4 linked regions of the Xenopus tropicalis genome follow. The main gene of each other region encodes a partner of the protein of the gene in region 2 in a complex. Links are inferred from orthologs where the notes say so. Each region holds a gene or a part of one and is shown on either strand. Other genes may lie near its edges.

What was found.
Region 1: mybl2 (region 2) and rbl2 share a complex: the UniProt entries of both Homo sapiens proteins name them as parts of the DREAM complex. The link is inferred for Xenopus tropicalis from reciprocal best matches to the Homo sapiens genes MYBL2 and RBL2.
Region 3: mybl2 (region 2) and e2f4 share a complex: the UniProt entries of both Homo sapiens proteins name them as parts of the DREAM complex. The link is inferred for Xenopus tropicalis from reciprocal best matches to the Homo sapiens genes MYBL2 and E2F4.
Region 4: the proteins of mybl2 (region 2) and lin9 are in contact, whole or in part, in a crystal structure (PDB 6C48), measured with the Homo sapiens proteins. The link is inferred for Xenopus tropicalis from reciprocal best matches to the Homo sapiens genes MYBL2 and LIN9. Residues at the interface, in NP_002457.1 of Homo sapiens: Trp663, Ala667, Cys668, Gly669, Gln674, Met677, Gln678, Ala681, Arg682, Leu684, Leu685, Arg687; in NP_001353174.1 of Homo sapiens: Lys356, Gln385, Arg386, Tyr388, Ala389, Thr390, Val392, Leu393, Leu395, Glu396, Asn399, Leu402, Asn403, Leu406.

Annotation. Positions count from the first base shown.
Region 1 is NC_030680.2:49,457,931-49,465,831, reverse strand, and holds the start of rbl2 (retinoblastoma-like protein 2), read left to right. Parts: upstream 1-2,520; 5' UTR 2,521-2,745; coding exon 2,746-2,904; intron 2,905-7,901. UniProt on the Homo sapiens protein: Key regulator of entry into cell division. Directly involved in heterochromatin formation by maintaining overall chromatin structure and, in particular, that of constitutive heterochromatin by stabilizing histone methylation.
Region 2 is NC_030686.2:39,922,660-39,930,668, reverse strand, and holds the start of mybl2 (myb-related protein B), read right to left. Parts: upstream 4,978-8,009; 5' UTR 4,837-4,977; coding exon 4,817-4,836; intron 2,642-4,816; coding exon 2,548-2,641; intron 2,258-2,547; coding exon 2,186-2,257; intron 1,380-2,185; coding exon 1,287-1,379; intron 1,130-1,286; coding exon 909-1,129; intron 1-908. Other genes in the region: uncharacterized protein LOC733539, read left to right, coding at 7,305-8,009. UniProt on the Homo sapiens protein: Transcription factor involved in the regulation of cell survival, proliferation, and differentiation. Transactivates the expression of the CLU gene.
Region 3 is NC_030680.2:76,509,498-76,516,242, reverse strand, and holds the end of e2f4 (transcription factor E2F4), read left to right. Parts: intron 1-1,217; coding exon 1,218-1,262; intron 1,263-2,843; coding exon 2,844-2,956; 3' UTR 2,957-3,617; downstream 3,618-6,745. UniProt on the Homo sapiens protein: Transcription activator that binds DNA cooperatively with DP proteins through the E2 recognition site, 5'-TTTC[CG]CGC-3' found in the promoter region of a number of genes whose products are involved in cell cycle regulation or in DNA replication.
Region 4 is NC_030681.2:8,012,908-8,021,005, forward strand, and holds the start of lin9 (protein lin-9 homolog), read left to right. Parts: upstream 1-3,860; 5' UTR 3,861-4,047; coding exon 4,048-4,138; intron 4,139-7,855; coding exon 7,856-7,888; intron 7,889-8,098. Other genes in the region: parp1 (poly [ADP-ribose] polymerase 1), read left to right, coding at 521-611. UniProt on the Homo sapiens protein: Acts as a tumor suppressor. Inhibits DNA synthesis. Its ability to inhibit oncogenic transformation is mediated through its association with RB1. Plays a role in the expression of genes required for the G1/S transition.

The sequences.
Region 1 (7,901 bases), on a different chromosome or scaffold from region 2:
AAAATCAATCACATCTTTTGACTGATTTAAAGTAAACCTTACTGGAGTAGGTAAATCATTCAGGGTGGCCACGAACGATTCGACCCCAATCTGGTCCCCACGCCAAATAATGAACATATCGTCAATGTACCTACGGTATAGCAACAAATTGTCTGCATATCTAGGATAGATATATTTACATTCAAAGGAGTTCATATATAGATTGGCGTATGAGGGGGCCACATTGGAGCCCATCGCCGTGCCAGTCCGCTGTAGGTAAAAACTCTGAAATAGTTACATGTCAAGACCAACTGCAACAGAGAGCACAAAAATTCAATTGGCGGAGACCCCTTGTGTCCATCAATAAGTGCCTCCCTGCATGCTGTAATCCCCTCGTCCAGAGGGATAATGGTGTACAAATTACACACATCAAGTGTCACAAATAGTGTATCATCAGGCAGTGTATCACATTGCCTTAAAATCTATAATATGTTGCCGAATGAAGTAGGCAACATACAACTTTTACCAGCACAGGGTGATAATTGATGATGTGCATCTTACTAATCTAAAACTTCCACTACTAAGGTGATGGCTCAAGGTATGGTGATTGTGTTAAAGGTTATATGCAGCATGAATATACAGTAAAATATTTTATTGAAAGTCTGCGGCAACTAAAATGCATAATATAAAAAGCACATAAACAATGCTTAATAAGTATAATTTGTAGAGTGCATGAACTTATTTGTATTTAAAGGTTGGGCCAGCCAGGACCTTTCAGCGTTCCAGAATTTGTACCCTCAGTGGTTTATGATGTACCAACCCTAAAATAATTATTTAAAGCACCAACCAGGGCCTGACTAGGGGCAGGCAGAAGAGGCATGTGCCTAGGATGCAAAAATGGGGGGTGCAAGCACCTACCTCTTCTCCCTGTCTTCCCATAGTTTCAGACGTCTGAACCCTTGGGTCAGGTAAACGGGGGGCATGTTTGGGGTGGCTGCTTACCTTGGTGTGCCCTCAGGCTTAGGTCCGCCATTGGCACCGACATATGTCAAGAGACCATCATCATTCCATTAATGTACTGACCATTTATGTTTGAGTAAGGTTGTTGTGTAAATGTGACATGCTTAATAAGTATTTTAGGCATTCACTTTCCTATTAATATTATTCTACAGTAAAAATGTATTATATTCAGTGCTTTCATTTTTTGATGTATCTGGTCCCTTGCTGTAAGTCATTGTACCAATAAATGTAAAGTTATCCAATTTTACAAATAAAATCCCATGACAGGCATGTACATACACTCAGGGCTGCCATCAGAAATCACGGGGCCCCCCTCCTCTCACGCCCTGCCCCCCAATGCTCCCTCCCATTAGTACAAAGGACACACAGACATTGGTAGCCAGGGCCCCCCTAAAACATTGGTAGCCAGGGCCCCCCTGCATCCTCCAGCTCACCCCCACATCATACTCCAGCTCCCCCCCAGAGTCCTTCCCAGCATCCTCCAGCTCCCCCCCCAAGCATCCTCCGGCTACCCCCAGCTCCCATCAGAATCCTCCAGCTCCCCCCCAGCAACTTCCTGTGGCTCCCCGCTGCATGTGCACAGCTCACCCCCATTGTCCTTCTGCTCCACCCCCAGTAACTTCCTCCAACTCGCCCCCAGCGACTTCCTCCAGCTCCCCCCCAGCAACTTCCTCTGGCTCCCCTCAGCTTTCCCCCACCGCAGCGACTTCCTCCAGCTCCCCCCCCCTCAGATAAGTGAAAAGTACTGAGTAGCAGATCTGGATTTATACAAAGGCCAGGGCCTAGGGCAACATGCAGACCAGCTGCTGCTTCTAAATTTGGACTGAAGGACTAGAGAAATGCCCCACGCACTGACTATAGAAGTGGGCATGCACATGACTGCAGAGACGGGGGTCTAGGGTGCACCCTCTTTGTAAATCCGGGCCTGTTGACTAGGGTTGCCACCTGTCCAGTGTTTTACCCGCCTTCCCAGTAATAAATTATGCTTGATGCCAACGTTATTAATAGAGAAAGACGAATATATGAATTCCTGTAATTTTTTTTACTTATTATGATCCCCATAGCATTTAAGATGTGAATGTTGGTAAAACATGTTATGTCCTAAATGCAAACATTGCATTGCATTTCTAAATTATTTTCTTTTTTATGAATCATACAAATTACTGGATATGTTCATAAAGGGCTGGGTCCCCCGTAATTGCCATTGATACTGTGACATTCCTTCAAGTCGATTTGTTCACTCATTTTGGACCCCCTGTGAAGTAAAGATGACACAGCCCATATAGGAAAACGTGAGTGTTAGTTTAGAAAGCGTAAAAGCAGGATGGCCTCCTCCTCCAAAGAAAGTATTTACATATAGGAACAGTGGGGCTTAGTTGAACTAAAACTTTCTTTTCAGGAAGGAACATAACGCACGCGTACTAACAGAATAGGGCGGCGGATGCTGCTATGTTGTTTATGAACAGAGTAAGAGACTAGCAGGAACTAGCAAGTATCTCAATCGGCAGCGATAAGGAAAGGAAAAGGCCGACCTCTGTGTTGTTTTGGGCGGGGCTACGCTACGCATTTTCCCCATCTATATTAGAAGAACAGTGTCCTACGCTAGTAGGCCTTTCTAATTGGTGACGAGAATATCAAAGCGTTGCTGTCAGTCATTGCCATTTAAATGGCTGCGCAGTGTGAGATGTGGAAGTGCACCGTTCGGGTGGCGGAGGGGACATAGCCGGGCAACTGGAAGGTCTGAGGATGATCAAGGAGGAAGAAGAAGAAGGGGAAGGCAAGCAGGCAGAAGAACAGCTGCGCTGCCGCTATGACGAACTCTGCAGCAGCCTTAATATGGATGAGAGGGCCCGGGGGGAGGCCTGGGAGTATTACAGTAGGATTAGCCAGAATTATACTCTAGAGGTGAGAAATTCTATTTTTTCATGGGCTTGATGAATGCCTGACCTGCGGCCCTCCTACTGCTGTTGGTGCTACTCTGCTCTCCCAGTCTCCGCTACAGGGCATGCTGGGTATGGTAGTACAGTAACAACTGGACTGGAAAAAAAACAAACAGCGTCGCTGCAAGCTTTGGCTTATTAGCAAATAACTGTAGTAGTGCGCTGTGGAGGTTTTTGCATCCCAGAAAATATTTTCATTGCTTTTTTTTAGTTTATTTCACATTATTTAGCATTTCACCTGGATGCCTATGCTGCATGTGTTACAGCTCCTTATCAGATACGGGAAGGGATGAAATGGACGTGGAGTGCAGTAGTCTGTCATAGCTATGACTTTATTCTGATCGCTAATAAGTACAAAACGGTAACAAAAAAGTGCCTTGCGGGGCAGGAGACAAGAAGGAACTGATTGCATGAGCTTACAATCTAAAGTAGGGATCCCCAACCTTTTTTACCTGTGTGCCACATTCAAATGGAAAAAGTGTTGGGGAGCAACACAAGCATGACGAAAGGTTCCTGGGGGTGCAAATAAGAGCTATGGTTGGCTACTTAATAGCCCCCTCTGTGGACTGGCAGCCTATAGGAGACTCTGTTTGGCATTATACTGGGTTTTTATGCAACCAAAACTTGCCTCCAAACCAGAAATACAAAAATGAGCACCTGCTTTGAGGCCACTGGGAGCAACATTCAAGGGGTTGGGTAGCAACATGTTGCGCACGAGCCACTGGTTGGGGATCACAGATCTAAAGGTTCAGGGAGGGACTGACACATGAGGCTGTTGGAGGATGTGTACAATAATTAACATCTTTCTGATTTTTTTTTTTGTGGAAGATAATTAAAAATGATTAACACGGTATTTACAGTAGTTGCACAACTCTGAATTTCTGTGTTTTATAAGCTGAGAAATCTGCCTAGTTATTTTCACATCCTTTTGACAAGCTATATGGAGTGCTTACTTACTGTATTCTCATCTAACTGAGCGTAGTGCAGATCATTATACCAGCTAACTTAAACTTGGAGTTATGCTACCTGTATATATATATATTAACATGCTGTATATTAGCAGCTTTGACTTGATGGCTGCTGTTTGTTTTGGTTGTGATGAGGAGCAGCTTAATGCAGTCTCCTTGGAGATATGTGGACCTTAGCAATTCAGCTGTTTAATTACTAGGGCTCTTGCAGACTGTGTTATTTATATTCTAACACTGTATCCAAGTAACTAAAGCAGAGAAGTGCTGTATATTCTTCCTTTTTTAAAAGAAATATGATACCTTGAAAATATTTTGTGTTAATCTGAACTAGGTATAGTTCAGATATAGTATAGTACTATTTTATGCAGATCTATAGTTCCCTCTTAATTCTTATGAGTTTGTTTTGTACATATCCCTCCTTTTGTGCGCCATCACCAATAAACCTACAAATTCAAATGTGGGATGGAATACTTTTTCACTAGTAAGTAACTGTAAATTAAACTTACCTGCAGCGCATCAGGGAAGGGAGACCGGAGGATTTGTGGCGCACCCTGCGGGGATCGGGTTGGGGCCGCAGGGGCTCACCAGGTTTGTTCCTGGTGCCCCGGCCGCCCAGTTCAACCCTAGATAAATCAATGGGTAGATTTTCATTAAGTCTAGGGAAGGCTAACCCTTTCCAAACCTGTCTGGCACCTAAATTAAAAAGTGGAAAGCTCTTTGCATTCCTGCAAGGTCCGATACCATTGTTACCAGCTGCACTCTGATTGGATTTTTTTGCTTGCAGCTTCTCCAATCAGAGGGCAGCTCTTTTTACAGACAGTACACTCTCTATCAATCAAATGGAAGGTGGGGATGGAGAGATTTCAGGAACTGAAGGTACTTGGAAGCATGGGTAGGCAGAAGAGGCACCTGCCTATGGCGCAACGGTGTGGCCGCGCCAGGCAGGTGGTATTTCTTTCACCAACCACTAGTTCCGGGCCCTTTCCCCCCCCTACTGTAGTACCCCCCCGCCAGTGGCCCCGGCAACCCCGCCACCCTGTGTGTGCACGCGCGCCCACGTGGGGGATAAGGCGGGCCAAGCCAACCAGGTTGCCCAGGGGACTCAGCACTGCTTGGAAATAAGGATTTACAAGAAACATATGTAAGGTTTTACGCTTTTCCTGCCAAGCATGTATGTGATACATGTTGCAGAAAAAGCCTTTGACTGCCAAGCATATATCACATACGTTCAAGGGCCCAAACCTCTAGGTAACGAGCCAAGTCAGTCTTGTGACGCGATTGTTGGAGGGCCCGACTTCTACCACCAGAAACGGTCGCACTCGTGTCTGCTGTTAGAGCTTCTTCCTACTACCTCCCTGAGTCCGCCCTGCAATCTAGGGACCCTCATCGTTTGAAAGGACCCTCCTCACTAAAAAGGTAGCTTTTTTTTTTTTTTTTTGCTTTTTTTTTATCTTTTGCACATATTTCCACACTTCATATACACACATACACACACTTTTTAGAGGTGTATACAGACACACGTTTTTGTTTTTTTTTAGTTCCTTATTTTATTATTTTGTCTTTCCCCTAAAAATATTTATTTCACAGCGTGACCATTGGATCAGGTATTCTGACCGCTAACCATGCTGTAAAATAGTTTTGTTATGTCACTGATTTGCCTAATTGTATTTCATTTTTTGACTTTTACCCTTTCATTGTTGTTTGTTGCATTTCTTTTAGCATTCTTTTTAGCTTTGCCATTTGCTGTAGAAAGACGTCTTTACCTGTTTCGGATTTGTAAGAATGTTTACTTTTTAAAAATATATGGTTTTCTGAGTGTCTCTTTATATAGTTAGGCGATCTTATGGCACATGATATGCAGTCAGGGGCTCTGTTTTCAGAAGCTGACTTGGCAGGTGAAAAAATTCATATGCACTACTTTTATTTGGGGTCCATACATAACCACATACTTTGGTAAATTTATGAATATTGGGCATTAAATTGTTTAGTAGACCCCTGGTGTTCATATTTAGGATGATTTATCATTGTATGTAAAAAATTGTGTGAGATAAATGTGGTCAATTGCAACATTTTTAGGTGATTTTCAGAAATGTCATCAAAACCGCTAAGTTTAGGAAAGCTTTGTGGTTTGGTAGTTTGGTGTAGAAAGATGTCCTTACCCGTGTTTGATTTGTTAGAATGTGTACTTTTCAAAAATATATGGTTTTCTGGGGTTTTCTGTACAGTTTTAGGGTGTTATGGCACATAATATGCAGTCGGGGCCTCTGTTTGCAGGAGCTGAGTTGGCAAGTGAAAAAATTAATATGCATTACTTTTATTAGGGGTCCATACATAATCACGTACTTTGGTAAACCTATGCATATTGGGCAAACTATTCAGTAGACCTTTGGCATTCATAATTGGTGGGTTTACCTTTGTATGTAAGAAATGTTGCAAATTGCACCATTTTTAGGCGATTTTCAGAAATGTCATAAAAATGCTAATTTAGGAAAGCTTTGCAGATTGGTACTTTGGTGTAGAAATGTGTCTTTACCCACGTTAGATTTTTCAGAATGTGTACTTTCTAAATATATATGGTTTTCAAAGGTTTCTGTATAATAAGGGGGTCTTACGGCACATAATACACTGTCATGGGGCTCTGTATGCAAAAGCTGAGTTGGCAGGCGAGAAATCCATATGCATAATTTTCATTTTGGGGTCAGTATACCACAGACTTTGGTATATCTATGCATATTGGGCATCACACTGTCCACTAGACACCTGGGGTTGTTATTTAGGGTGATTTGCCATTGCATGAAAAAAATTGTGTGAGATAAATACGGCAAATTGCAATGTTTTTAGGTGATTTTCAGAAATGACGCAGAAAGCTTTGCAGATTGTCTACTTTCTAAAATACTTTCTAAAAATATATGGTTTTCAGGGGTCACCTTACATTTTGCCCTCTTTTACCACACACAAAACTGCCCATGTGTTTATGAATTAGGTAAATGTAAGCCATGAAATTAGTGTGCACAAGGTATATTTTGGGGTCTGTAAGTGCCATTTACTTTGATAAACCTATGTATATTGGACATCAAATTGTTGGGTAGACCTCTTGTGTTCATATTTTGGGTTTTTTATATGGTTACCTAATAACCTGTAGGAGATAAGATGGCGCAAAGTGGAAGTTTTGAGGTTATTTTGAGAAGTTTTGTCAAAATCACCAATTTTAGAGAAGCTTTGCAGCTTGGTACTTTGGAGTAGAAAGACATGGGTACCCATTTTAGATTCGGGGGAATATGTACTTTCCAAAAATATATGGTTTTCTGGGTGAACGTTCTTTTTTTTTTTGTTTTGTTTTTTTGCTTTGCCCCACATAAAATTCAGTTAATGTGTTGATTTTGCAGAAGCTGACATGACAGAAATGATAGATCAAATGGGGCATTTTTATTTTGTGGCCCCTACATGCCATATACTTATGTAAACCTATGCACATTGGGCATCAAACTCTTCAGCGGACCCCTGGGGTATATAATTAGGATGTTTTATCTTGGTACCTAATAGTATGTTGGAGGTAGGGTGCTGCAAAGTGAAAACTTTGAGGTGATTTTCGGAAATCTCCTCAAAATCGCCGGCTTTGCAGCTTGGTACTTTGGAGTAGAAAGACACAAGTGCCTATTTTAGACTCTGAGGAATGTTCTGTCCAAAAATTTTTGGTTTTCTGGTCTACATCAACATTAGCTTTAAGCCTGTCAGTGTATGGCCAACTTTAGCCTTGCCAAACAGAAAATTCACCCTCCGCCTATGGATAAATCTGTCCCTGACATTACGTCAGCTTGACGCTGTAAAACTGAATTGGGTAGAACTATGTCCCTAGCCTGTGTTCTGAAGAAAGGAATTTAAATAGACAGTGGAAGTTTTACTACACTATGGAAGTATTTTGTTCACATTGGCAGTTAATGTCATACAAAGTGTTGGTTCATGGCATCTGCGTATTTACACAGTTTTTCTGCCA
Region 2 (8,009 bases):
CCTGAGAATCTGACCAGTGTGGCAAAAGCTATGGCCCTGTGGCCAATGAGCAAATCATACTCTGGGGCCCACAGAGGCCCATTAGACAAGGACCTTTACTTGTAGGTAGTCTGATTAGCCAATGGTCACCATTAGACAATTTGCCAAGTTTTCTTATGGCTACATGAGCAATCAGCTGTACAGGCAAGTGTAAACAATACTGTTATTTAAACCTAAACAATGGGTTTCAAAATATCCTGATATACAAGTCAAAAGGAAACAGAGTGCCTGTTTACAAATTATCAACAGCTTAGTTTAACTTAAGTTGGTCAGGGTGGGAGTGAGAAAACTGTTTTGAAAGAAGGTAAAATGTTTTAGGAAAGCCAATTATTTCCTTAAACAGGTAATGTTTCAGTTTATTCTTCCCCCAGGACAGTATATTGAAGGCTTAAGGCTGCTGTACACATTTCAGCTTTGTACAGTGTCTGATTGGCCTTTGGGTTAGATAGATACTGTATAACAGTGATCTCCAACCAGTGGCTCATGATCAACATGTTGCTCCCCAAACCCCTTGGATGTTGCTCTCAGTGCCCCCAAACCAGGTAGTTATTTTTGAATTCCTGACTTGGGGGCAAGTTTTGATTGAATAAAAACAAGGTTTACTACCAAATAAAGCCCCCTGTAAGCTGATGTGTGCATAAAGGCTGCCTAATAGCCAATCACAGCCCTTATTTTGCACCTCCATGAACTTTTGATGCTTGTGTTGCTTCCCAAGTCTTTTTACATTTGACTTGGCTCACGAGTAAGAAAGGTTGGGGATCCCTGCTGTATAAGATGCTATGCATAGTATGGCCACGTTTGCACTGTTTAGACAGCCTGAACAGTTGAAGTAAAGAGGAGTTTAACAGGCAAAGGTGGGTTTCTCTTACCTCCCAGGAAGCAGCTTTGCTATTTCAGCCCAGCGATTTCCCAATACTTTATGGGCTTGGCATATAATTCTGTCCTCTTCCTCTGTCCATGAGGACTTTTTCACTTCTGGATTGAGGTGATTGTGCCATCGTTCGCGGCACTGTTTGCCCATGCGGCCTTTGAGCTGCTTAGCAATCAGGGTCCAGTGTTTGGTGCCATACTTCTTCACTAATTCTATCACCTAGAAAGAATTATCAGAGGTAGACAAAGTTCAACGTAAGCCACAAGGATGTTGAGCTCACAGCATCCCTCCAAAGACTACAAAAGAATTGTAGTTTATCAGGGCTGCCACACCAATAATAATATGTATTCCCCTATTCAGATACCTCACTTCATACCTTCTCATCTTCCTCTTTTGTCCATGGACCCTTAACCAAGTCAGGATGAAGAACACGAAGCCAGCGGTGCTGACATTGTTGTTCAGTACGATTCTGGAGGAAAAACAAAAATGTAAACACCTTACTAAAACATTAAGACTAAGGAACAAAAAGACAGTGCTTATTGTACTAAACCTTTGCTCACACCAAGTAGTGCCATCCGATGTCTAACAGCGCTGAAAGGGCATAAACACCTCTCCATTAAGCCATAAGATTTCTGGGTTCTATTTTCCCTTATGGGGAAAGGCATAACCAGCATATACCCTAATATGGAATTAAGATGTATAAAAGGGGGTAGTAATGGAAATAAATGTTAACAAGAAATAGGGAGTTTTAAGTGTACATAGACTAGCTCGTCATCAGTTCAGAAAGTGTCCCCTGATCAAAACAGCCATAAAACCATTGTAGGCCAAAGGTAACATCTGCCCAGGGCCAGCAAATCAGATATACTTTAACAGCAGAAGACCTACTTTATATGAGGTTTTTATCCTATTGGTGTATGTTGAAGACACCAACTGACATTTCACACATTTTTGCCTAGATGTCAGCCCTAATGCAGTCGTGCACCAAAAGAATCACAAGCTGATGCTGCTTTAATGCCCAGTGCCAGAACCGATGCAGTTCCCATGACTTGCACTTGATTTTTATATGCGCAATTGCTTTAGCTTTGTCATGTTGGGACAAATGCAGTGGCTACAACTCCCAGCGCTGTTACAGTTGTGTAGGGATTCCAGCAAAAAGCTGCATTGCGGATAAAAACCAAATAGGAAAATTGCACTTGCTCACTAAGCTGCGTTTCTATAAGACTTATAAAGCATGGTGAAATGTAAGATTTACACTGAAGGGATGATGGAACTTACAGTAAGGTTACTGGCAATCACCTTCCATTCACTCTGTCCATGCTTCTTCACCAAGGCTTTTAGCGTCTCATCCTAATGAAACAGAACAAAATGGAAACAATAATTAATACCTTACTGGGGGAAACACGGACGGGAGCAATTTTTACGCATGACCTAATACTGGGGAGTGACATCCCTGTACTATTTTATGTAAATAGTATCACCAACATATAAGACCCCCAGAGGATGACAGAGATGTCAGTCACAGTAAGAAGTCCAAAGACCAGCACTGGAGGGACAGAAGGGTTCTCATCCAGCCCTAGGCAAGAGATAAGGACTCTGGATTGTATTGCTCTAGCAATACATCTAATTGCATACTGTACCTCTTCTGGGGTCCACTTCACTTTGACCCTGCTTTCCTTTGGCTCCGGGACATCAGAGTCTGTGTCCTGATATTGCAAATCCTCAAGATCATCTCTGTATGGGTTAAAGAAAAAATTATTATTAGTATTTAGTCAACATGCAACAGTGTCCCAGAAATAAGCACAGGTTCAGCATATGGAAAGAGGCAGCATTACTCAAAGCACCCAGGGAATAGGGTGTCTGTTAATCTAGCAAAACAAGGATTAAAAAAAAAAAAAAAAAAAACCAGGGTGCCATGAGGGTGGCCACTACTCCAAATGCGAAGGTCGAACTTTCCAGCAACCCCTCTCCAGCTTGCTTTTGGAGATATCACATAGGGGCTGGGTCAACTAGAAAGGGGGGTGGGGTGGAATTCAGCTTGGGAAAGCAAAGGATCCTACATGTGGCACATAGCTGGGACAGAACACAAGGTTACAGGCAGAAACATGAACAAAAAAAAAAAAAAAAAAAAAAGAGAAAACTGTGCACTAGGGAAGTCATCCTTGGGTTTTACTTAAGCGTCTGATAAGTGCATTATATTTCTGTAAATGCAGTCAATGTAGGTGGGTTGCAAAGGGGAGAAGTGTGAAGGTGGGGGAGGGAGTTGTAATCAGCATGACATCCTGAGGCACCTTTACACAAAAAGTGTAGTGTTCCTAGATATACAAGAAAGAAATTACTAAGAATCTAAGGAAATATGGCCGACAAAAACTTCTTTCTCTTTAAGAAGGGTTATAAATGAGGAGCAGAGACAGGCAAACAAGCACAGGGAGGCTGCAGAACGTGGCGCTCAGCTGGAATGGAGCACTGAGAGAGCAGGGACAAACCCAGCTGGAGAGTCACAAGTTAACCTCCTGGCGCAATAAGACAAAAGCCAAAACAAAAGGGGTCGTTGGGGGCCAGCTGTGCACAAACATAGCATTACTGAAGGTCTGAGAAGTACTGGGAAATGTGGGAAGCACAGGGAGAGAAATATGGGGTAGTAGGGCAGATATGCATGCCCTGAAGTGTATGGAAAGCCAAAGGAAAACTCTCAGAGGGAGGACAGTGGAAGCTTCATAGGAAAGTGCAAATGGGGGTGGGGGAGAGCGGACAATGGGGCAATGCACGGAAGCCCACTCGGGGTGGACATGGAAAGTCCTTATGGGGAGACAGAACAAGGGAAGTAAAGAGAAGGCTAGAAAGATAATAGACAAAAACAAGGGTTGGCAATACTAGCTGGGGAGAGAGCTGAGGGGGCAACAGTGATGGGCAGCTGGGGAGAGAGGTGAGGGGTGACAGTGATGGGCAGCTGGGGGAGTACAGGGAAGGGCAGACTGGGGAGAGAGCTGGGGGGTAGAGGGAAGGGCAGACTGGGGAGAGAGCTGAGGGGGTAGAGGGAAGGGGAGACCGGGGAAAGAGCTGAGGGGGTACAGGGAAGGGGAGACCGGGGAAAGAGCTGAGGGGGTACAGGGAAGGGGAGACCGGGGAGAGAGCTGGGGGGTAGAGGGAAGGGCAGACTGGGGAGAGAGCTGGGGGGTAGAGGGAAGGGCAGACTGGGGAGAGAGCTGGGGGGTAGAGGGAAGGGCAGACTGGGGAGAGAGCTGGGGGGTAGAGGGAAGGGCAGACTGGGGAGAGAGCTGAGGGGGTAGAGGGAAGGGGAGACTGGGGAGAGAGCTGGGGGGTAGAGGGAAGGGCAGACTGGGGAGAGAGCTGGGGGGTAGAGGGAAGGGGAGACTGGGGAGAGAGCAAAGAGCCCAGCTGTGGAGAGAGAAGCAGTAGAATAGTTTAGCTATAGTTTAGGCATGTGGAACCGACAGAGAAGCCCAACTAGACAGGAAAGTCCAGAATGGGGGAAGTTAGTAAATCCAGAGAAGGCCAATAGGTGAGAGCCCGGCAAGGCCAGGGCAGAGGCAAGGCCAGGGCAGAGGCAAGGCCAGGGCAGAGGCAAGGCCAGGGCAGAGGCAAGGCCAGGGCAGAGGCAAGGCCAGGGCAGAGGCCAGGGCAGGGGCAAGGCCAGGGCAGGTGCCAGGGCAGAGGCAAGGCCAGGGCAGAGGCAAGGCCAGGGCAGAGGCAAGGCCAGGGCAGAGGCAAGGCCAGGGTAAGGGCGATAACACAGGGCAGGGAGGAGGCGCAGAACTGAAAGCGCAAAGCAGACGCCCAGTGACTGGCACCTACTCAAAAGTAGTAAGAAAAGGCCGCCGGGTTCTAAAGTAGTAGCTGTGCCCGTATGTGCAGCCCCACTGCCCCACCCGTTAGTGCCAGGCTCACCCGCGGGCCCGCCGGGACATCCTGCCGCTCCGGACACTTCAGTGCGCAGTCTGTGGCGGTATTGTTATTTCCTATCTCCCGCCAGCTGCGCACGCACCCACAGAACTCCCTTTCCGGGGCGGAACCCACTCCCTGGGCGGGGCCTACAGCCCATACGGAGGCGCTCTAGGTGCCTGTCACTTCTATATGTGGGGAGGGCCATGCGTCCGGTTTTAACCAATGAACAGCAAGCGCACTGATGTCAGCGATTTCCCGGCGACCAATCAAAGCTAGAAATGAGGGACAGCTTCTGGCGCCTATTACGTTTTGTAACAACCCGAGTGACAGAGGATTCTAAAAATTTCCAGACTAGACAGTCATTTCCTCTTAGTTTTGGCGACGGTAGCGTTAAGCCATGCATTTTAAGTGGGGTTTACGCTGACATCACCACCTCAGATTTGCTATGAGTGTATAGGTTTTTGAACATTAAATTTGAACTGCTGCCTGGTTACTAGAATGGGAGTTCCCTAGCAACAAACATAGAAGTATAATAATAATAATGAAATGGAACCTTCACAGTCAGTCTGTTTTTCAGTTACCTAGGTAACCTTGACAACTAAGCAATTGCAGGCTGGAAAAAAAATAGAATGGAAATATAAATAAAACAAAAAAAACCTGAAATGTTTATTAGGTACTTCTACAGGACTGCCATTGGCTGGCTACAAGTGGTATTGCTGAGGGGGGGTGGGGTATGTGCTCAAATATAACCTCTCCTGAACCCAGTCTGAGCAGCATGGCTTAGGAGTGACTGCCCAGTAGTGGAAAGAACCCTCAGTAAAGGCAGAAATTATATCACTTTCCCTTCCACCCTCTGCAACTGGGAACAGGGGGAGCAAAATGGAACTTCTATATGAGAGAGAAGACTGGGGGAAACCATAACTGAGATGGAGGAAGGTTATAAAGTAGACAGTGAAGATAAATGGAGAGGTGTTAGGTTAGGAAGACGTTATGGGGGTACAGCAGGGATGTCTCTATAACAAATACAAATTTAATGTAACAGTTAACATTCCCTTGAAACATGGCTCTCACATTCCTCAGTATCCAGCATCCCTATGAGCTGGTCTGGCCTAACAACTACAAGTGAGGAATGGGATAATTGGATAATGGGTGGGGTCACAAGGCGAGATTGATTGGCTACTTAACCTCCTAAAACACTATATAAAAGGCTACTTGCCTGGAAGCCAGAATAAATCATTTAGAGGAAATCTATCAGGGAAGGTAAGTGGCTGCACAAAGGGAATCAAGTTGGTGGTGTGTCGCGTAATTGTTACTAGGGCTTAGTACAAACCCATATTGTGTTGCTGTGTGAAGGTGCTGGCATGTTTAGTAATTTAACCATTTTGTTGGCCAGGTGATTAACAGAGACATAGATAGGTGCTGAGATGCTTGCCATTCATTTGAATGCCAGTTGGCTGTTGTATGCACAAATGGCTTTGGAAGCTGAGATGTTTTATATGTTTTCCTTTGTCTGTTTTGGGTAAACTTTGTTGTTCTTTGTTTAATATGTTGGAGGCAAAAATACATGTTGGAATATTTGACTTTCATCAAGCAATATGCTGTTTGAGGGGACCAGGACTGGGATACAAAATATGTTCCAAGTACATAGAGACCCAAACAGCCCCCTTATGGCATCTTACAGCAGCCCCACATTTGTCTGGATCTACAAATTACCAGTCTGCGCCTGGACTGGCCTGTGACTTCCCAATAGTAAAACTACTACAACAACATAGACTTACTCACATTCCCTGTTCTGCAACCCTACAACAGGCATCCCTTGCAACATTTCCCATTTAAAGAATAGTAACAACCTGCTACACCTGCAGTGATTTTTCACACTTGGGAGTATTGTGTGTTGTTATCCTAACTGCCCTAAGCCAATTCTAACTAATTGAATGCTGTGGGATAGTTGGCAAAGCCCTACAGGGAGTGCTTATATACAAATCTCTTAATCATATGTCCTTTTTAGAGGTGTATAATAGTGGGATTACTGGAGCCTGGTTCCTTCTGGCTTCCAACTGTTATCCCAGCCTACTATCCGTAATAAATATTACAATAACTCTCCAGACCTAATCTATTAGACTTGGCTTTCCTGCTATTGTTAGTTTGCCCTTGATTGCTACTCATTAGATATAAGAGTGGCTTTACAGAGTGCTATGTCTTTTTAGTATGAATGAACAATTAAGTGAGAGCTTTGGCCATTCGCACATCTGCTATGACCCCACTGAGGTGCCAAGATAAATGATAGATCGTAGGACAGTCTCTTAATGCCCTCAGGGTTGTGGCTTGTGCCCAAATGGATACCTGCTGTACCAAATATGTTCATGTGTGCTCCCCTATCATAAGTTACTTAAGCATGGGTTTCCTCTAATTCTTGGTTTCAAAAATAAAATATGGTATCTAATATCCTACTGCTTTTTCTTAATTGATAGGTTTGAGAGAAGCCTAAAAGATGTCTATCAGCTGGGACAGCAGTGGTATCAGTTTCCTTATGTCCAGCTCCAACCTCACATTGACCGAGATCATGGACTTGGGATTTGTGGCCACAGCTCAGAGTAGCTCTTCTCCTTGTTCCTCGGGGATTGAACTGTTGGATCAAAGAACCCGTCCCAAGCCCGGTGGGTCACCATTCCTGCTTAAGGTTTCGGAGTCTAGCCCTCTTGTAGGTGGAGAGAAGCAGCGAATGACTGTTGAGGAAATCGTGCCCTGCCTCAGCAGGTCTCCATTCCCACCACCTGACGGTCAGGTGTTTGAACTGTCTGCTTTAGCCCCAGAACCACTAAGTAACTCTATTGTTGGGGTATTCTATGGTGCAAAAGTGTCAACACCCTATAAGGAAGAGGCCACTGATGCAATATGCGTGGACATCCAAGTACCTAAACTGCAAGATTCAGAGATGGTGGTCCAGGCTGTTGGGGTGCAGAAGCCTTCTGTACCACCAATATGGGAGCTCTCTGAGATCAACTCTGCTTTAGAGGAGAACACTCCAACTCTGGATGTTTCTGTCTCTGACTTGAGGTTTACAAGTAGCTCTGACCGAGACCAACCTTCAAATCCACAGGTTCCAGCTTCTCAATGTACCCAGTGGGTTGGGGTCACTCATAAGGATGTGGGGCGCTCCTTTTTACAGCCATTCCGCTACCAGCGCCAGCTTAGT
Region 3 (6,745 bases), on a different chromosome or scaffold from region 2:
CCGAGCTACTAATAGCAGCTACTTTTTCACAACTACTAAACTCCAGAAAATACTTTTCCTTAGGAAATAGTCTATTTTAGTAGCTGCTACTAGTAGCTCCGTGTCTTCACCTTAAAGGAAAAATAAAGTCAAAGTCACTTGGGGGTGCCAAAATGTTAGGCACCCCCAAGTGACTTTGACCGCCTACCTTTTACCCCGGGCTGGTGCCCCTGTGAGGAAGGAACAGCACCAGCCCGGGGTAGCTGCCGGCGCTTCCTTTTCCTGATTCGCTGCGCGCGCATGCGCAGTAGAGTGAAAAGCCGAACTTAAATGTTAAAGTCGGCTTTTCACTCTACTGCGCATGCGCCCACCGCTGGCACTCAGGAAAAGGAAGCGAGGAAGACGGAAGCGCTGCGCTCCAGGTGCCCCGGGCTGGTGCTGTTTTCTCCTAACAGGGGCACCAGCCCGGGGTACGAGGTAAGCGGTTAAAGTCACTTGGGGGTGCCTAACATTTTGGCACCCCCAAGTGACTTTGACTTTCGTTTCCCTTTAAGAGCAGAAACTCCATACTTTATACTGGAAATTTTACTCTTCTAGTGTGGAGAGTGGAATCTGTACTTGATACAATATAGATAAAGTGGGGCAGCTTCAGGTGGCATGGGGGCACAAGCAACCCTATATATGTAACGTTCAGTTGCTGCCGAAGGAGACTAACTCAGCTGAGGTGAGCAGTAAGGCACATTTCATCTGTGTGGAGAAGCAAATATGTAACAGGAATATTCATCTCACAGTGAGCTAAAAATGAATGCTTAGAAATATTGTGGTTTGTCCCTGAACATTGACACAATTACTGTTTTACTGTATATAGGCAGACCATGGTTTATCTGAGGGCATGACTTATTAAATGCATGTAACATTCACTCTGTCTGTATTGCTGCTTGTGATGCTGCTTAGCCAAGGAAATAAATATGACCGCTCCTACTTACAAACTTCTACTAAGTGAAATAATGGTCACTGCAAGATATTTGGCTCTGCACCTAAAATATATGTTTAAGTTATATAATGTGCAATCATTTTATTTGCATACACATACTCTTTAACCCTTTAAAAAGAAGTACAGGGCTACTTATAATGAAAAGAAGTAAATCATTAGTGCATCCATGTTTTACAGACTTCATATATAATGTACTTGTCATATTATTGAAGAATTTTGTCAAAATAACTTTGTTCCCTCCCAGAATGCATCACTTCAGACTTGTTGGAAGAATTAATGTCCTCGGAAGGTGAGTATCACTGTTCAAGGCATAGTTTCTTTTATGTTTTCCTAAAAGATTTTTTTGTTAAAATCCCATTAAAAGAAGCAAAAAAAAAAAAAGCATTGTGCCATGATTTATCTAAAGGCATGGCTTTTAAGCATAAACCAGTGTGCCGTTTGTATGTGTCCATATAAGTATTAGCTTGCAGTAAGTACATTTTCACAGAATAATGTAAGGATCTAATGTCTGCTATGGTGTGCCCTTACTCTCAAGTATCTGTGCTCTGTGGTGCTAAGGCTACTGCCATATACAGCAGTTTCTCAGCATGCATATAAGCACAGGCACAGAAACAGTCCCTCCGCTCTCTGCAGACACACTGCAGTTTGTTTATCAACTCTGGGCACTGAAACCTATAGCAGTCAGTTATTGGCTTTTTTTTAGCCAGCTGCAGGTAGAACAATGAATGCAGCAGTTTGATTGGTTGCCATAGGTTACTGCCCACAAGCAAATTTGCCCAGTGGTGAAATGACCCCCAGCGTATTTTAGTGCAGAAACGCATCACTATGCATTTACTGCCTAATCAGCTTCTTGTGTTTGCACCCAGGCCAAAAGTATTGTCTGCAGCTGCAAACACACTATAGAGCAGATTGGAGCCAAGAGGCTGTAAATGCAGGCCGGACAGCTAAATAATGGATGACCACTGCAGAGCTGATAGCAAACATGCTGCAATAAAACTTGAACTTTTGCTTAAAGTAAAGATTTATTATACATATTATATAAATAAGCAGTTCTTCTAGTCAAATAATTAACGTTTTTGGTGTAATTGGCTCTTTAAATTGCATATTCTAAGAGCCGTGGCAGATGGGGAGATTAGTCGCGGGCAACTAATCTCCCAGATATGCCATCTCCACTGACTTGAATGTAAATCACCAGTGGGATGGCATACGTGACGCCGCGGGCGACTAATCTCCCTGTCTGCCATGGCACTTAGGGGCAGGTTTATCAAAATGTGAGATTAAAGTTTACCACTGAAAAAATTACTGTGATTTTTAAAAGTGTGTTTATCAGTGAATGAATAGAAAGTGAATGAGTTTTTTCTGTGGTAAACTCACATTTTGATAAACTTGCCCCTTAGGGGCAGATTTATCAAATCACGAGTTCGAATCCCAAATGGGAAAAATTCGGATTGGAAACGAAAATTTCTGAAGATCGCAAATATCACGAAAATGCTTACGAAAAAATTGTATTAGTCACGATAATTTCGTATTGGTCACAAAATGTGCGTACCGTACAATTTTAAACAGCGGTAAAACCTTTCCAGTTTTTTCGTGCAAGCGTATGGGGAAAAGTCGTGCGGCGTACGACAAAATCGTGCGGACGCCCAAAAAATTCAGCGAAAAAACGCTCTGAGCGTTCATGCCTTTGTTAATGTGCCCCTTAGTGTTGGTATGTAGAATGATGTTGGTTGTATAGGTATAGATTTGTATTAAGATACAGTCTCTCTATATAAATCATATCAGAAGCACTTATGACTGATACCACTGCTGGCCCTGTATGTGGGCACCTGCTTATGCTTGAAAATACTCATGATTTTTTTTTTTTTTTCAGTTTTTGCTCCTCTGCTCAGACTTTCTCCTCCTCCTGGTGATCACGACTATGTCTATAATTTAGATGAAAGTGAAGGAGTTTGTGACCTCTTTGATGTACCCATCAACCTCTGATATTTTGAACTCGGCTTTGGGCCTTATTTGTGAATAAGAACTTTTTTGTTGTCTTTTATGAAGAAATGTTTCTATTTTTGGATATCCGCGTGAGTTGTTACGGAAACCATACCAGAGACATTGCAGTGCAAAAAGACACTTAACTCCTCTCACTGTGAGAATCCGCTCATAACTTTTCCATCCCTGTGATGAGAGGACTGCTTGGCAAACCCTTCATAGAGGTTGTCTGTATTGATCCAGCTTTATTAAGTCCATTACTACATCTGACAGAAGCTTTTCACAAATTTCAAGCACTTAACATTTTTGCTGAAGTACATAATATTTGGATTTTTGGCTGAGTGTGCCTCAGTATTTGGGCTTAGAAGTTCTTAAGTCTGTCCAATAATATAGTAGGTGTGCAGTACCATCCTCCATAAACAAATGGTTTTCCATGCAGTAACCGTAAAAAATAAGCTTGGTTGTCTTTTATTATGCTCTGACCTCACTCACTGCCAAATCGCTGCCAGTCACTGTCTAGCTAATTTACCTAAATGAAAGAAGATGTTGATATGAAATTATTTTTCTACATACATTTGCTGCGCCACATGAACTATTTGTAATTTTTGTTTTCTACAAAATAAACCCGTATTTGCCAGTAGCACTTTAGGGATGTAAAAACAAACACCCAGAGCAGCTGTGTGACTTTGTTGGGGTGAAAGTGGTGAGATTCAATACAAAAGCTGTGCAGTCCATTTTAGTCCAAATGATACACAATGATTGCTGGCACTGGAGTTGTATGGAATTGAATTATATTATAAACTTGTGCTTTAGAAAGAATATTATAGTGTAAAGAGTTACCTATTTATAGTCACTTCTATGACCGAATATACGTTAAGATTGGCATTTTCCTTTGCACATAGCTTTCATATATTTGTAATATGTTAGGTGACATGGTACCATGGAGATATGTTGTTTCTCCCAGACAGAGATCTCCTTGTTTTTAATACCAGTGCTGCTCCACCTGGATCTCAGTCCAACGTTTAAGTAGAATATTAGGACTTAGTCTATGTTGATTTAAATTGATTTTATTTAATATACTGCAAATATATAATATATATAATGTAATTCCAGTGTCAGTAATCAAGGTAAGGAATATACTTTCTGCAAAAGGAGTTCCTTGGCCATCACCTCCTCTGTATGATAGGAGATATTTACAGTGGTGTGAAAAACTATTTCTTGATTTCTTATTCTTTTGCATGTTTGTCACACAAAATGTTTCTGATCATCAAACACATTTAACTATTAGTCAAAGATAACACAAGTAAACACAAAATGCAGTTTTTAAATGAGGGTTTTTATTATTTAGGGAGAAAAAAAATCCAAACCTACATGGCCCTGTGTGAAAAAGTAATTGCCCCCTGAACCTAATAACTGGTTGGGCCACCCTTAGCAGCAATAACTGCAATCAAGTGTTTGGGTTAACTTGCAACGAGTCTTTTACAGCGCTCTGGAGGAATTTTGGCCCACTCATCTTTGCAGAATTGTTGTAATTCAGCTTTATTTGAGGGTTTTCTAGCATGAACCGCCTTTTTAAGGTCATGCCACAACATCTCAATAGGATTCAGGTCAGGACTTTGACTAGGCCACTCCAAAGTCTTCATTTTGTTTTTCTTCAGCCATTCAGAGGTGGATTTGCTGGTGTGTTTTGGGTCATTGTCCTGCTGCAGCACCCAAGATCGCTTCAGCTTGAGTTGACGAACAGATGGCCGGACATTCTCCTTCAGGATTTTTTGGTGGACAGTAGAATTCATGGTTCCATCTATCACAGCAAGCCTTCCAGGTCCTGAAGCAGCAAAACAACCCCAGACCATCACAATACCACCACCATATTTTACTGTTGATATGATGTTCTTTTTCTGAAATGCTGTGTTACTTTTACGCCAGATGTAACAGGACACGCACCTTCCAAAAAGTTCAACTTTTGTCTCGTCGGTCCACAAGGTATTTTCTCAAAAGTCTTGGCAATCATTGAGATGTTTTTTAGCAAAATTGAGACGAGCCATAATGTTCTTTTTGCTTAAAAGTGGTTTGCGCCTTGGAAATCTGCCATGCAGGCTGTTTTTGCCCAGTCTCTTTCTTATGGTGGAGTCGTGAACACTGACCTTAATTGAGGCAAGTGAGGCCTGCAGTTCTTTAGATGTTGTCCTGGGGTCTTTTGTGGCCTCTCGGATGAGTTGTCTCTGCGCTCTTGGGGTAATTTTGGTCGGCCGGCCACTCCTGGGAAGGTTCACCACTGTTCCATGTTTTTGCCATTTGTGGATAATGGCTCTCACTGTGGTTTGCTGGAGTCCCAAAGCTTTAGAAATGGCTTTATAACCTTTACCAGACTGATAGATCTCAGTTACTTTTGTTCTCATTTGTTCCTGAATTTCTTTGGATCTTGGCATGATGTCTAGCTTTTGGTCTACTTCTCTGTGTCAGGTAGCTCCTATTTAAGTGATTTCTTGATTGAAACAGGTGTGGCAGTAATCAGGCCTGGGGGTGACTACAGAAATTGAACTCAGGTGTGATAAACCACAGTTAAGTTATTTTTTAACAAGGGGGGCAATCACTTTTTCACACAGGGCCATGTAGATTTGGAGTTTTTTTTCTCCCTTAATAACGTAAACCTTCATTTAAAAACTGCATTTTGTGTTCAATTATGTTATCTTTGACTAACAGTTAACGGTTTTTGATGAGCAGAAACATTTAAGTGTGACAAACATGCAAAAGAATAAGAAATCAGGATATAGTTTTTCACACCACTGTATACCCTCCTTCCTGCTACTTACTGCTATTAACCATGAAAAAGCCTTTGCAGCCACAAGCAGTGGATGATACAAATGACAACTTGTAGCTGTGGATTCTGAGAGTAGTTCTTGAAATGAAAAGGTCTTTATTTCATGTGTCCCATCGCTTCTGCCGGTATTTTCCTTGGCATCCGGCTCCTTAAAAATTGCCACATGAAAATACTTGACATGCTTATTCATGTACATATTATATGTTTAATAAGGTTCACACTACCTTATCACAGCAATCATGGTTACTCAAGTAGTAATGCACAAAAAAAAACAAATATTTTTTTTTGTACCATGAGACAAATTTTTATCCTTGGATAAACAAATGTTTGCATCTTATGGTCTGAATGAGTAATGAACTGAGGCATGGGCTTTACTCCAAAAGGTCAGAAAGATCTCATTGCTAGAAGAAATAACGTTCTTTATCTTTGCTTTGTCAGATTTACTTTTCATTTAGAAAGAGCTCATTGCTAGTAGAGAGAAAGTGCTTTATCTTTGTTTTACACAGATTCACTTTCCTTTTGTGACAATTCTAGCAGAATTTGCATGGTTTTGCTGTGCTTGCTGCATGGTCCTACCAGTCTGGAAATGCAGAGAATGCAGTCAATGTGAGCTTAGGTAAATAAGCATTGAAAAAAGCAAAACTCTTCCTTATCTGCCAGCAGTGAAAGGTGATCTGCATATGGGCAGTGAAGTTAATTTGTGCTGTTTACTTAAAGCCCTTTCCTCCCTGAAAGACTAAAGCACTGTGGAGGACTAGGGTACGCTGTGCATACAAAAAAAAATAAGAGGACAGCTGCAGAGGGAAAAAGTTGGCAGGGAGGAGTAATGGGGTGATGTAAAAAATTCAAGAGAGTTCAAGTAATGATGGGGGGGGTCAGAAGCAAACTTTAAAGCAATACAGACATAACAGGAGAAATTCATGCAATCATGGGGAGCATAATGGGGAGACACAAGGTGTTATAGAGCTGAA
Region 4 (8,098 bases), on a different chromosome or scaffold from region 2:
GATAAATCAGTTGTAGCCTCAGTTTATATTATGTTAAGTGGCCTATTAAAGAATCTCCCCAAACTGGAATATATATATATCAGTAAATATTGCCCTTTTATATCCTTTCCCTTGAGCCGCCATTTAGTGATGGGCTGTGTGCTCCCTCAGAGATCAGCTGACAGGAAGTGATGCAGCTCTAACTGTAACAGGAAGTAGTGTGGGAGCAAAAGGCAGAACTCTGCCCATTCATTGGCTGATGGGGCCTAGCATGTATGTGTGCCTTGGCTTGTTTGTGTGCACTGTGACTCCTATGATCCCAGGGGGCGGCCCTTAGTACATAAAATGGCAGTTACCTATTTAGGATTACCCAATGGCACATACTGCTAAATAAGTATATTGATATGAAAATGGTTTATTTAGATGAAGCAGGGTTTTACATATGAGCTGTTTATGCAGTATATTTGTATAGAGACCTACATTGTTTGGGGGGATAGTTTTCATTTTAAGTGTGTGTTTCCTTAACCACCTTCCCCCCCAGATACATTGTGTATGATGTTGCTCAGGTTAACCTGAAGTACCTGCTGAAGCTGAAGTTCAACTACAAAGACAAAGGAGGGTTGCTTTGGTGATGGCCCTGCCTGCAGAGTAGAAACGACTTAGAACTGACTTAGTGCTCTCACTTGCATTCTATTAATCCTCCCCAGGACATGCTGGCCCATCCCTGAAACTGACTCCTAAAGCCCAATGGGCAACCTGTTGGCTGTGGCCAAAATAGCGCCACCCCGTACCTCTGCCTATGCCGCTGCTGTGTGATGGAAAGGCCTATGGCTGCTGCTTGCTTTTCTGAATGCCAAGTGCACAACGAGATGACCCTGAAGGCCGCCTGTTACTGATTTTTTGAGGGCTTTTTGGAGATGCCGTCTTTACGTTCCGATTGTTCTTCCAGAATTCTTCCAGATGTTAACCCTTTATTTTCAGGTTTAATAAAAGTTAAACCGTGACACTATCAAAAGATGAATGTTTATATTCAGTACTGATAGTTGCCTTTATTTCCCCTTTAACGTGCGCTATGTGTAGGCTACACATACTGTATAGTGTTGCGCAGGGATAGCTCACTGTTATGTGACTGTTATGCTATAGGGCAAGATGTGACCGTAAGGATCAATACTGTAACCTACAGACATATCTCTGTAACGTTATCCCATAGATATGTGGATGTTCCAATAAATGCGCTCCGTCTGCCATTCTTCTCCGTCTGTCTTCTGTTGTTATTTGGGTCACTCCAGACTGGCAGCTAAACTAAATGGAAACGGTCTCTTTAAGTTCTTTCTTGAGTATTTTGTATTTATATATAGATATATTTATATATCTATATATAAATATAATATTCCAGCCTTTTTCGGCAGAATTCAGATTTGGCTGAATCCATGCTCCTGGCCAACTGAACCGAAATCCTTACAATCACGTTACTTTTTGTCACATTAACACCTTTAGCTCTTCCATAACCACAGCTTGGGAATGAGGCAGAAGGAAGTGGAACTGATGGCCAGGACTTGGGGTTTTTGGAGAAATTGTCAATAAATCAGCCTGAAACACACACACATATATATAATGAAATTGTTTTTCATACAATATGTCCCCCTTTAAAGAAGGTGCCCATCATTTATTCTTCCGTGTATCCCATTTGGAATTTCAGCAGTTATCTGGTTGCTAAGGTTCACATTTCCTTAGTAACCAGGGAGTGGTTTGAATGAGAGACTGATATTTTTATAGGGAGGACTGGAATAGAAAAATAAGTAATAAAAAGTAACCATAAAATGATAGCCTCACAGAGCAATTGTTTTTTGGCTGCCGGGGTCAGTGACCCCCACTTGAAAGTTGGAAAGAGTTAAAAGGCACGTCATTTGAAACTATAATAAATATGAAACCAATTGAGAAGTTGCTTAGAACTGGGCTTTCTAAAATGTACTAAAAGTTAACGTAAAGGTGAACAACCCTTTTAATGTGGAGAAAACTTTGCAGATTGCTTGGCCTTTGGGCCAAAGACCAGATCATAATTGCTGCCAATGACTGTCTGGGACATTCCCGCATCAATGTGCCAATGTGGTCCTCGTCCTGACTGGAAAATCATACACGCCGGATATAGGTCAGACAGGCCCATCAGCCGGCCCCATATATGGGCCAGTAAGGTGCAGACTCAGTCCATGTACGACCACCTTTAGATATGGCAAAGAAGAGGAATTTGAGAGACAATGGCGGCTGGTTAATGTGGATATTGTACTGGCACCAAGGGAAAACCCTTGTGTTTTTGGACTATTGCAATGTCCAGATAAAGCCTGCATCAGCTTCAACATGTGTCTTACCCTTCGTCTTTGGGGAGGTGTGAAAATCTGTGTAGCGACGATGCACGTCGGCCTAGTATCTATTGGATTAAACTTTGCAATCACTATTACATATTTAGCCAGACAGTTTGGCTGACTTTGATCACCCTGCCCTACTATGTGGGTGCGTTTGGCAAGGTACAGGGCTGTTAGAATATCAGGGGTGTCTGACTCAGGTGTTGCTCTCATGGGTCCATTGCTGACCAACATCTGGCAAAATACAACCTGACTAGCTCATCTGTGGCAGTATTATTATATAATATACCGTTTGGTAATTTCCCTATGGGAGCTTAGTGATGCAATTTCTGCCACAACTCACTAAAACTTGTATATTATAATAAAAAAAAGTATCCTCTGTGGTAAAATATGGGGATATTAGAAGTCACCTTGGGAGTTCCATGACTTGTACAATAATATCCCTATATGTTACAATAGGGGGTACTTTATTCGCTATATATTATAAGTAACCCCTTGCGAACTTATAATATCCCTATATGTTACAATAGGGGGCACTTTATTCACTATATATTATAAGGAACTCCTCGGGGGCTTATAATATCCCTATATGTTACAATAGGGGGCACTTTATTCACTATATATTATAAGGAACCCCTCGGGGGCTTATAATATCCCTATATGTTACAATAGGGGGCACTTTATTCACTATATATTATAAGGAACTCCTCTGGGGCTTATAATATCCCTATATGTTACAATAGGGGGTACTTTATTCACTATATATTATAAGGAATTCCTCGGGGGCTTATAATATCCCTATATGTTACAATAGGGGGCACTTTATTCACTATATATTATAAGGAACTCCTCGGGGGCTTATAATATCCCTATATGTTACAATAGGGGGTACTTTATTCACTATATATTATAAGGAACTCCTCTGGGGCTTATAATATCCCTATATGTTACAATAGGGGGCACTTTATTCACTATATATTATAAGGAACTCCTCGGGGGCTTATAATATCCCTATATGTTACAATAGGGGGTACTTTATTCACTATATATTATAAGGAACTCCTCTGGGGCTTATAATATCCCTATATGTTACAATAGGGGGTACTTTATTCACTATATATTATAAGGAACCCCTCGGGGGCTTATAATATCCCTATATGTTACAATAGGGGGCACTTTATTCACTATATATTATAAGGAACTCCTCGGGGGCTTATAATATCCCTATATGTTACAATAGGGGGTACTTTATTCACTATATATTATAAGGAACCCCTCGGGGAATGTAAATGTGAGTTTTACTGTAAATACCAGAGCGCCAGTAGCGTTCCAGCAATAATGCTCCACAGAATCCCCACAGCCCCCTCTCAGGGACACAACCACTGTGGGATGATGGGACTTGTAGTCCAGAAACAGCTTCAAGCCTCACTTTTAACGAACTACAGGTCCCACCATCCCACATAAAGCCCCTGTGAGAGCCGCTATACCCGGCGGTGCAACCCCGTCCCGTTACTATGAAGGGGGCGCGCCTGTAAGATTTCTTGGCCGCGCACAAAATGGCGCCTGAGGCGGGTACGCGCACGCACTGTTTGTCACTGACGTCACGTTCTCGCCCAGCAACGCGATCCGGAGCCCGAATGGCGGCGCAGAGAGGGGAGTTCAAACCGAGCGGAGGCTTCCCCAGCCCTTGAGTCCCTGGGAGGCCGCCATGAAGCGCATGAAATCGGTCAGGAGCCCCGCCGGGCCCGGGAATGAGGCGGAAGAGGCTCGGCCGCTGGAGCTGCTGGCAGAGGAAGAAGGTGAGAGCCGGGCTGCTCCTGTCAGTAGCGGGGTGAAGGCTCCATAGGGAGCGGGCAGGCTGCCGGGAACTCGGGGTGCGAGTGGCCCTTCTATTCGCTGGTGGTTATTATACAGGGGCCCCCGGTCCCAGCAGCCCTGTCTTCTCCCAGCGCCCTGCTGTGTGTGTCCCTTACTCTCATATCCCTGCCCCTGGGTTCCCTGTGTTATGGGCCCCCAGCCTTCCCCCTAATGGCAGTCACTGGGGGGCCCAGCCTTCCCCTAATGGCAGTCACTGGGGGGCCCCAGCCTTCCCCTAATGGCAGTCACTGGGGGGCCCCAGCCTTCCCCTAATGGCAGTCACTGGGGGGCCCAGCCTTCCCCTAATGGCAGTCACTGGGGGGCCCCCAGCCTTCCCCTAATGGCAGTCACTGGGGGGCCCCAGCCTTCCCCCTAATGGCAGTCACTGGGGGGCCCAGCCTTCCCCCTAATGGCAGTCACTGGGGGGCCCCAGCCTTCCCCCTAATGGCAGTCACTGGGGGGCCCCAGCCTTCCCCCTAATGGCAGTCACTGGGGAGCCCCAGCCTTCCCCTAATGGCAGTCACTGGGGGGCCCCAGCCTTCCCCTAATGGCAGTCACTGGGGGGCCCAGCCTTCCCCCTAATGGCAGTCACTGGGGAGCCCCAGCCTTCCCCTAATGGCAGTCACTGGGGGGCCCCAGCCTTCCCCTAATGGCAGTCACTGGGGGGCCCAGCCTTCCCCTAATGGCAGTCACTGGGGGGCCCCAGCCTTCCCCTAATGGCAGTCACTGGGGGGCCCAGCCTTCCCCTAATGGCAGTCACTGGGGGGCCCAGCCTTCCCCTAATGGCAGTCACTGGGGGGCCCCAGCCTTCCCCCTAATGGCAGTCACTGGGGGGCCCCGCCTTCCCCCTAATGGCAGTCACTGGGGGGCCCCAGCCTTCCCCCTAATGGCAGTCACTGGGGAGCCCCAGCCTTCCCCTAATGGCAGTCACTGGGGGGCCCCAGCCTTCCCCCTAATGGCAGTCACTGGGGAGCCCCAGCCTTCCCCTAATGGCAGTCACTGGGGGGCCCCAGCCTTCCCCTAATGGCAGTCACTGGGGGGCCCAGCCTTCCCCCTAATGGCAGTCACTGGGGGGCCCCAGCCTCCCCCCTAATGGCAGTCACTGGGGGGCCCCAGCCTTCCCCTAATGGCAGTCACTGGGGGGCCCCAGCCTTCCCCTAATGGCAGTCACTGGGGGGCCCCAGCCTTCCCCTAATGGCAGTCACTGGGGGGCCCCAGCCTTCCCCCTAATGGCAGTCACTGGGGGCCCCAGCCTTCCCCCTAATGGCAGTCACTGGGGGGCCCCAGCCTTCCCCCTAATGGCAGTCACTGGGGGGCCCCAGCCTTCCCCCTAATGGCAGTCACTGGGGGGCCCCAGCCTTCCCCCTAATGGCAGTCACTGGGGGCCCCAGCCTTCCCCCTAATGGCAGTCACTGGGGGGCCCCAGCCTTCCCCCTAATGGCAGTCACTGGGGGGCCCCAGCCTTCCCCCTAATGGCAGTCACTGGGGGGCCCCAGCCTTCCCCCTAATGGCAGTCACTGGGGGGCCCCAGCCTTCCCCCTAATGGCAGTCACTGGGGGGCCCCAGCCTTCCCCCTAATGGCAGTCACTGGGGGGCCCCAGCCTTCCCCCTAATGGCAGTCACTGGGGGGCCCCAGCCTTCCCCCTAATGGCAGTCACTGGGGGGCCCCAGCCTTCCCCCTAATGGCAGTCCACTGGGGGGCCCCAGCCTTCCCCCTAATGGCAGTCACTGGGGGGCCCCAGCCTTCCCCCTAATGGCAGTCACTGGGGGGCCCCCAGCCTTCCCCCCCTAATGGCAGTCACTGGGGGGCCCCAGCCTTCCCCCCCCTAATGGCAGTCACTGGGGGGCCCCAGCCTTCCCCCCCTAATGGCAGTCACTGGGGGGCCCCAGCCTTCCCCCCCCTAATGGCAGTCACTGGGGGGCCCCAGCCTTCCCCCCCTAATGGCAGTCACTGGGGGCCCAGCCTTCCCCCCCCTAATGGCAGTCACTGGGGGGCCCCAGCCTTCCCCCCCCTAATGGCAGTCACTGGGGGGCCCCAGCCTTCCCCCCCCTAATGGCAGTCACTGGGGGGCCCCAGCCTTCCCCCCCCTAATGGCAGTCACTGGGGGGCCCCAGCCTTCCCCCCCCTAATGGCAGTCACTGGGGGGCCCCAGCCTTCCCCCCCCTAATGGCAGTCACTGGGGGGCCCCAGCCTTCCCCCCCTAATGGCAGTCACTGGGGGGCCCCCAGCCTTCCCCCCCTAATGGCAGTCACTGGGGGGCCCCAGCCTTCCCCCCCTAATGGCAGTCACTGGGGGGCCCCAGCCTTCCCCCCCTAATGGCAGTCACTGGGGGGCCCCAGCCTTCCCCCCTAATGGCAGTCACTGGGGGGCCCCAGCCTTCCCCCCCTAATGGCAGTCACTGGGGGGCCCCAGCCTTCCCCCCCTAATGGCAGTCACTGGGGGCCCCAGCCCCCTAGGGTCCTGGGGCCCCAGCCTCCCCCCTAATGGCAGTCACTGGGGGGCCCCAGCCTTCCCCCCTAATGGCAGTCACTGGGGGGCCCCAGCCTTCCCCCCCTAATGGCAGTCACTGGGGGGCCCCAGCCTTCCCCCCCTAATGGCAGTCACTGGGGGGCCCCAGCCTTCCCCCCCTAATGGCAGTCACTGGGGGGCCCCAGCCTTCCCCCCCTAATGGCAGTCACTGGGGGGCCCCAGCCTTCCCCCCCCTAATGGCAGTCACTGGGGGGCCCCAGCCTTCCCCCCCTAATGGCAGTCACTGGGGGGCCCCAGCCTTCCCCCCCTAATGGCAGTCACTGGGGGGCCCCAGCCTTCCCCCCCTAATGGCAGTCACTGGGGGGCCCCAGCCTTCCCCCCCTAATGGCAGTCACTGGGGGGCCCCAGCCTTCCCCCTAATGGCAGTCACTGGGGGGCCCTCAGCCTATCCCTAGTACTATCTGTAAGGGCCACCTTCTTCCTAGTCACTGGGCTATGGGGCCCCCAGTACTTACTGTAAGGGCCACCTTCCCAGTCAGTGCAAAAGACACAGATTCTCTTGTTGCCCAGGGCAGGGTTTGTGTTGGTTACACAGTAATGGTCCAGCCCTGCAGTCTGTTGCTAGGGCTCAGCCAATCACAGCGGGGTATATCTCACTCACACCATTGTATCCCTGTGTTTATCTTCATCCCCCGGGGCCCAGAGCCCTGCAAACCAATAGGAACATGGGGGCACTTGCAACTGACCCTTTGAAATACTGAGTGACAGGTTGCCATTGTAGGACCAGAACCCGTAGCCGGATTTTCCCACTCTGTAGCCTAACTTTCAGTACGATGAGACAATTTGCAGTTGGTCTTTTTTTCAGCAGCTAAGTGGTTGCTGGGGATACAGTTTACCTTAGCAACCAGGCTGTGGTGGAAATGAAAAGGATATAAAAATCTATGCAAGTTTCTTATATATATATTAATGATGACTTTTTGTTAGTTTTAAGCATATATATATATCAGTGCAATTGATATTGGGATATTGGGAAGTTGCTTTGAATTACTTTTTTTGCCAAAAACAGTTTGTGGGTTAAGTTCCCCTTTAAACCCCCCTCATCAGACTTACATGTTACTTCTACAGATAGATGAGCTGATTAGATTAAATCTGCCTGAAGTCAGACAATTCTTCATTTTCTTTGTTTCAGATTCCTCTGCCAAAGCGCTGGTCAGTTTGAAAGGTAAGAGAATGATTGGTCTCTTCATATCCCTACTGCAGAGAATGTCTCCGGAGGCGGGGGTTCCTGGTCTCCCACTGTCCTGTATGTTTGTATTTATACATATGGGTAGGGGGTGCCATAGTGTTTCCCTTAGACAGTACAGTATGGGGGTACAGCTTATTGTGTGCCCAGAACATTCCTTCTCTGTATATTTGTATTTATACATATGGG